Linked DNA regions of Caenorhabditis elegans. The protein of the gene in region 1 interacts with the protein of each later gene in a pairwise test. Each region holds a gene or a part of one and is shown on either strand. Other genes may lie near its edges.

The links.
Region 2: the proteins of M05D6.2 (region 1) and Y13C8A.1 interact in a two-hybrid assay, tested with the Caenorhabditis elegans proteins (one large-scale study listed by BioGRID).

Annotation. Positions count from the first base shown.
Region 1 is NC_003280.10:8,466,293-8,470,875, forward strand, and holds M05D6.2 (T-complex protein 11-like protein 1), read left to right. Parts: upstream 1-1,816; 5' UTR 1,817-1,830; coding exon 1,831-2,123; intron 2,124-2,170; coding exon 2,171-2,273; intron 2,274-2,317; coding exon 2,318-2,390; intron 2,391-2,437; coding exon 2,438-2,588; intron 2,589-2,634; coding exon 2,635-3,150; intron 3,151-3,204; coding exon 3,205-3,483; intron 3,484-3,537; coding exon 3,538-3,688; 3' UTR 3,689-3,870; downstream 3,871-4,583. Other genes in the region: fars-3 (Phenylalanine--tRNA ligase beta subunit), read left to right, coding at 1-404, 456-524, 571-656; F22B5.10 (Calcium load-activated calcium channel homolog), read left to right, coding at 882-1,271, 1,342-1,512; M05D6.8 (ShKT domain-containing protein), read right to left, coding at 3,880-3,976, 4,072-4,163, 4,472-4,583.
Region 2 is NC_003284.9:16,882,035-16,885,203, forward strand, and holds Y13C8A.1 (uncharacterized protein), read left to right. Parts: upstream 1-1,691; coding exon 1,692-1,830; intron 1,831-2,368; coding exon 2,369-2,439; downstream 2,440-3,169.

The DNA.
Region 1 (4,583 bases):
TGCCGCTGGATGGACAGAAGCTTTGAACTTCGCATTGTGCAGCCGTGACGACATTTCTTCAAAGCTCCGCCAGCCAGATGCACTTTCTCATGCAGTTCATATTGGAAATCCAAAAACTCTTGAATTCCAAGTTGCTCGAACATCCCTTCTTCCCGGACTTTTGAAAACACTGTCTTCCAACCGAGACATGCCACTCCCATTGAAATTGTTTGAGCTTCAAGATGTTATTGTGAAAGACTCAAATACAGATGTTGGAGCAAGAAATGAGAGAAGACTTGCTGCAGTGTACTACAATAGAGCTGCTGGTTTCGAGATTATTCAAGGATTCTTGGATCGAATTATGAGAATGCTAAATGTCAATCCTGCGCGCGACGGAACTGGATACTACATCGAAGCCGATGAAAGTAAGATTTGTATTTATGAGTCCTTATAATTGAAATATGCTACTTTTTCAGATTCAACCTACTTCCCAGGACGGTGTGCCAAGATTATCGGTCCAAAGGGAGTCGTTCTCGGACATATCGGCAAGTCATATTTAAAATGACATCCTTTTAATATTTAATATTTTAGGAGCTCTCCATCCAGAAGTTATCACCTCCTTCGGGCTCACATTGCCATGTGGAGCTGTCGAAATCAATGTGGAACCATTCCTTTAAACATATTTTTGTTACTTCCCGGTTTTTGGTTTTGTTATTGCGATTATTTATGGATTTTTCCTCTGAAATGTGGTTTTTAAATATTTCATGCTTGCTGTTTTTCTTTAATTAAAATGTTTCAACTAAGAGTTTTCATATTGGTTATTTCATTGTCTCTCGGTTTCATCCGTGGTTTTATCTACTCAAAAATTCTATGTGTCTCGTATTTAAAAACTGTAATTAAAGATGTTGGGTGATTGCCTCCTGATTATTGCGATCGCGTTCGGAACTGCCCTTGCCGGTGAAGGTATCACATGGCTTCTTGTGTATAGATCCGATCACTACAAAAGACTGAAAGCTGATATGGACAAGAAGACGAAGAAATTAGAGAAGAAGAAGCAAGAAGTCGGGGACACCAATGATAAAAATATCAAAAGAAAGCTTGAGAGAGAAGAAGAACGATTAAAGGCAACTAACAGAGATATGAGCATGTTCAAGATGAAATCAATGTTCGCGATTGGACTCGCGTTCACTGCACTCTTGTCTACATTCAACTCGATTTTTGAAGGACGTGTTGTCGCCAAACTTCCATTCTATCCAATTGGATTCATCCAGGGTCTTTCTCATAGAAACTTGGTAAGCATCGTTTGAAAAAAAACTCTGATAGCATGTAGTAAACTCGGTTTTTATTACTTTATTTTTTCAGATTGGCGAAGACATGACTGATTGTTCGTTCATTTTCCTTTATATTCTCTGTACCATGACCGTTCGTCAAAATCTCCAAAAAATCCTTGGATTCGCACCATCTCGCGCTATGGCTCGCCAACAGTCCTCACCATGGGCTCCACCAAACTCCCAAATGAACTATCTCCGTTAATTTAAGTAAAACTTTCACTTTCAACTCATGTGAAACCTATCTCTGATAATAAGCACTATTTATTTTCTTTCTCTTCCCAAAATTTTCAATCAAAAATCATATTTATTCTGTAAGTTTCAACTTCTGTGTGCTGCTCAATCATTCGTTTCTCAATGATTTTACTGGAATGAAATATATTCGTATGTTGTGATAATGAATACCAAGTTCTGTAATTCATTTTTTCTATGTTATTTCCGGGTTTAAATCTCTGGAATATTTGGAAATTGTATTCCACGAAAAATTTTGGATACTTTAACATTTTCAGTGAAATACAGAAAAATGAGTGACGAAGAAAAAAGACCGAATAGTCCCTCTGGATCAGAAGACAAAAAGAGCAGAAAACGGCATGTCTCACCGCAGCCTGTACCAATTCCTGGAGCTCAAGAATCGAAAAATACTCCATCGCTTCCACCATGGGTGGCTGGAGGATCACCAGCAAAGTTTGTCAGTCATGAAGAATTGATGAAAATGACAAATGAATTAGAAAATATGGAGTTGGTTCATGAAATTGCAATCGATCCTAATTTTCAAATTCCCGATAAACCAACAAATGCAATTCAACGATGTGTTCAGTGAGAAACTCCTTATTTATTTCAATTAAATAAATTAAAATTTTCAGAGAATCAATGCACAAGGCCTACTACAATCAGCTACGCCGGGATCTTGCCAAAGATCCTCCTGAACTGGAGTACTGTTTCAGTTTTCTGATGGAAGTCAAAACTGTAAGATGTTATATGAATTTTTAAAATAAAATTTCAATTTTCAGATGATTCTGGATGACATTTTAACTGCCCAACATACACGTTTAAAAGCTGAAATCAACTCGATGCTTGACGAAAGTAAATTCAATTTTTATTTTTTTTTTTTTAAGTTTAAATTTTTTCAGCTGCTCTACGTGGCAAGTTAGACCAAGGCCAGCTTGATATCAAGAAAGTGATGAAATATATTGTTGACTTATGCTCAAGACTGTGCTCTCCAGCCCGAGATGTGAAAGTTGCCGAATTAAGGACCAGAACTGACGTTATTGATATTTTCGAGTGAGCAGAAAATAAATGGAGAGAAATATTTTCTATTTTGTTTCAGAGGAACGATGGATCTTCTGGAGCTAATGAAAAATGATTTAACCAACTATCAAATATCACAGAACCGTGCGGCCATCGAGGAATACTCATCAAAACACGAATATGACATGTTTCAGAAATTTCTGATTGAGAATCCGAACGGATGTTATTTTGCCAGACAGTGGCTGAAAGCTGCATATGACGAGTTGTTTGAGAAAAAATTAGATGCTGAAGGAGAGGAGACATCAGTGAAAAAAGAGAGAAAAAATGAAGATACAGATACAGTCTTAATTGATACTACAAGTCGAGGTTATACTAAGTTAATTCAAGTCAATGAATATGATGGATTTCCGGAAACTTTGAAAATCGACAAAATCAAGATTGAATTGCTTGCGGAAAAGTTTTTGCAAATTGTTATGTGTGCATCATCTGTATTCGTCACATGCAATGTAGCAGGGAAACAAATTTCTGAAAGTGCAGATTTCAAGAAAACATTAAAAGATCATTTGATTGTAATCACAAATAATACAGACGAAGAGTGAGTCGCTTTGATTTTTATTCAAAGACCATATACAATAAAATATTATTTCAGACGAATAAAATCCGATCTCGAGAAAATCGGTGAGCAATGTGTGAAAGAGGCAGTCGACACGTCGAAGAAGCTGAATATCGAATGGAATACTGAAAGCTCAACATCTATTCGAAACCAAATCAACGCACTGATCAGCTCAGATAATCCTATCAGAAAGCTGGTTCATACCAGAGTTTCCACATTTGTTGAAGAAATGCTCCGAAGTCCAACTTCTGTTCCACATCGCCTACTTCCAGGTCTTTCTGTGATTCAATCTGAATTGTGTGCTTTCACATCGAAGTAAGCTAATTGAAGAATGAGAAAGTTGTTTGTGAAATTATGCAAATTTTACAGATTCCTTCGTCTCTGTGTCCACAACCGGAAGACATTTTACGCGATGTATTCCAACCTCATCCAGGAGTTTCAAGGACATACTCCTTCGACGCATGCAATCTATCGTGCTGATAGTCCCTCTTCTATGCCTGGTCCTAGCACATCTGCCTAATTCACAGAACAAAAAATCTGAAATATTTGCCACTTGTTATTACTGTAAAGTTCCAAATTCCGATCTTCAATATGCTTTGTGACATAATCTCATGCTTCTGATGGTTATCATTTATATATGTCAGCATTAATTATTTGGTTTCATATATATGTTCAATTATTTACATGAATTGGTGAGTGAGTGCTCGTTGTTCAACAACCTCCACAACTTTTCAAACAGTAAGTCTTCCTCTCGTCCAACGTGTAATAAGTGGAGTGACAGAAGCCATTTCGAGCCCATTTTGGACAGCTTGAAAGGAAAGGTCGAATTATGGAATAGTTCATTAATTTCTACAACTACATATTTAAAAGCATTTTCTAATAGCTATATTTTTCGATTTATACCTCTGAAACGAGTCACGACAACGAGATGTTTGTGGAAGACGAACAAATTGGGGGCAGAAACCACATGTTTTAGCACATTGACGCATCATTATCTGAAATAATAATACATGTTTTTCAAAACTCATTTTTTCCTCTTGAGCACTCTAAATTATTAAAATTTTTCATAAATTCAGCTCTTCCGTTTTATGAACAGTGCTGTGAAGTTTGGTATTAGTTGCTACAAAAGTTCCTACATCGTGGCAAGGCCCATCGAAAAAGCTATCGCGTACATTTAAAGTGAAGTCTTATTCTTTACCAATATTATTATGCTCAACTTCCCCAATTACTACTGAATAAATTTGGATTACAAACCCAAGAAAACCATTTGCTTTAATTTTCATATTTTGTGTTTAAAACTTACAGTCTTATACTCGTTTCGCGTGCACAATGGCTTCACTTTGGAGCATCTTTTCGAGATATCATAACAATTAATTGGTTTTGGAGCAGCTGTAGTTATCTTGGTTACTGTAGTT
Region 2 (3,169 bases), on another chromosome or scaffold:
AAACAGAAATTAAAAAAAAACACGGGCAGTAAAAGGGTACCTGTGGTCAAGACTGACAAAACTTTCGAACCTGATCAGCTACAGGAGTTTAAAATATATTTTCTGAAAGTAAAATTAAAAAGGTTTTTGATATTTTTTCAACAAATGTTTTTTCTTTGAGATGTAACATTTTTCATATTATACCTACTGTTTGAACTGAAAAATGCTTCAATTTTTGCAAATTTTCAGTAACAATCATAGATTTTGAATGGGTTTGATATGGGGAATATACCAATTAACTGATTTCAAAAAGTTTCATCAAAATTCAAACTCAATTTTTCCAATTTTTTTCGAAACTCTATTTGAGATATTTGGCTAAAAATTGTTTTGTCCGGCTTTGTTCAAATGTGTCAAATTAGTTTATTTAACATAATTACTCACAGAGCCTGGGCTTTAAGCATTTTAAATTATTCGTAGAACTTAATAGAAACCAATGAAATTCAGTACTAACTCAAAAAATCTTGGTAAAATTAAAAGTTTCTAAATAAAACTATATCCAAAGATTGGTTTAATTGCATTAAACAATCTTTTTTACTGTTTTCTTTCAGGAAATTAACTAAAAATATACTTTACTGTGCTCGTTTTTGAGATTACGGCCAGGTACCCATTTATAGCCCGTGCGGTCGTCTCCCCCCTTCTTCCCTTCTTCCCACAGGTCCACAACGCCCCCTGCCGGCAGCCTTCTATAGGAGACGATCTGTAATGGTCTCCCTCCTGTCTGTGTCTCCGCCTCTATCACGCTCTCTCTTTCTTTGCTCAGGGGAAACGCCGGGTCTTCGTTCATCCAACTTCCCAATTGTTTTTCTGTCATTCACTCCTTTTTGCTTATACCCCCTTCTTGTGAGTACATCCCACTCTGTAGATGTGCTCCTTGCTTGACAAACCAGGTCCGCAGTCCGATTTAGGGGCTCGTGTTCTGGAACAGTTAAGGAAACCATGCTCTGTTGTATTTAGCTGGTTTCGCTACTAGCACTCCTTTTTTGTCCTGAGTTGATCGTGTTTGAAGCGGATTTCCGATCTAAATTTGTATAAATAAAAAAAACCTTTTTTCAACAAAAAAAAACAACAAAAAAATTCAAAGAAAAGAGATTCTTCGACTCTTCTCGACTTTTACTTAATTTTCACTCGACTTCTAGAATAATTATTCTAGAAGAAGTACGCTTTCCAACTTTCCTTCTCTTTTCTTCTCATCCCAATCCCTTCCCAAATCCCTACACCTGTTATGTTATGCATGCTCCCCTTTGTGTTTGAACATGGATCGACGGATCGAACGATGGATGGATTCTCTGGAACTATTACTGGAACAGTCTCTCGTGCGTCGGACAATCAATGGACACTGCTACATCCCTCTCTCTTTCCCCCCCCCCCCCGTCTTTGTTGGAAAGTTATTACGAAACTTCTGAAATCAGAAGTTTCTCAATCATTTTCTCATTTAGTATCAAACTTCTACAAACAGAAGTTTAAATATAACACCGCTAAGACAACTGTCTGAAACGGGAGATCGGAATTGAGGCTTAAACACATCATACACCGTATTCAGAGGTAGCGAATAAAGGCTAATGACCAACATCATGCTAGTACTTCTGTTCCTAACGAACAATGAGAACCGATGTTGGGCCCATACTGCGATACGATCGGGCGGTTCTTGCTCTATGGAATACTTGGGTGATGATGTGCAGTTCTTACGGTGTAGAGCATCACATGAAGAAGCAACTCCTATTCAAAGCTATCGTCACCACCTGCATAATCACCAAGCAACAGCAAAGAGCAGAAAAAGGACGACCGTAAGACGTAAGATTTTGTTTATTTTTAACATTTTTGATTCAAAAATCCCAAATTTAGTTCTCAAAAACCAAAGATTCCAAAAAATTGGAATCAATTTTTTTTGCCAAACCCGAATTTTTCTTTTTAAAAAATCCTGAATAAAAATTTCTGAAAATTCAGGATTTACAAAAAAGCCAAGAGCTAAAGATTTCAGTGGATTCATTTGGTCGGGTATTTCGGAATGGCTCCGGCCACAAAATGTGCCTTACAAACATGTGTTTTCCGCAACTATCACACGGTTTGGAAATGGAAAACATCGTTTTACAAGGCACGGTTTTGTGGGCGGGGCCAATCCGGAATACCCCGACCGAATGAATTTCCCCTCGGCATTCTTCCCAGAAGGCCCAAAAGGCCTTCTGATGAAGTGGGGGGGGGGGGGGGGGGGAGAGCTGACCGCGTGCTCTTCTACTTCCCAGGAGCACACTTTTCGAATATACGGCCCCATGTGAACAACTTTCTTATCAGAATCATTATTTCCGGTAATTATAAAAGTGTTTTTTTACAGAACAGAAGAAGAAGGAACGAACGACGACGGAAAGAAGACATGGACAAAAGGTGGCGATAGTATGGAGTTGAATTGGAACGAGATCTCACTCAAGATCTCGAGCGACGATGGATCGGGATGGATCGAGATGGAACGATAGATTCGAATGCGACGATCGGGTTCGGTGAACGGGATGGATTCTGGATAGACTCGGGATGGATGAAGATGGATCGGAATGGATCGGGATGGATCGGGATAGATTGGGATGGATCGGGATGCATCGGGATGGATTGGGATGGATTGGAATGGATCGGGATGGCTCTGGATGGATCGGGATGGATCGGGATGGATTGGGATGTATCGGGATGTATCGGGATGGATCGGGATGGATCGGGATGGATCGGGATGGATCGGGATGGATCGGGATGGATCGGGATGGATCGGGATGGATCGGGATGGATCGGGATGGATTGGGATGGATGGCATCGGGTGATGGCGAGAACAACGACGACGACGACGACAACGACGACAACAACAAAGGATTGGCATGGTTGGATCGGGAGAAGGCGAGAGCAAGGACAAGGACGACAACGACAAGGACAACAAAGGATCTGAATGGTAAGGAAAGATTTAAATGATGCTTCAGCTAAACTGATTTTTTACAGATCTACGATAAAAGCGGCGACGACGAACAGGATGGATGGATAGGAATGGATCGGAATGGATCGGAATGGATCAGAATGGTTGGATCGGGAGAAGGCAAGAACCACGGCAACGACGAGGACGACGAGGACAACAATGGACCGGAATGGTAAGGAAAGA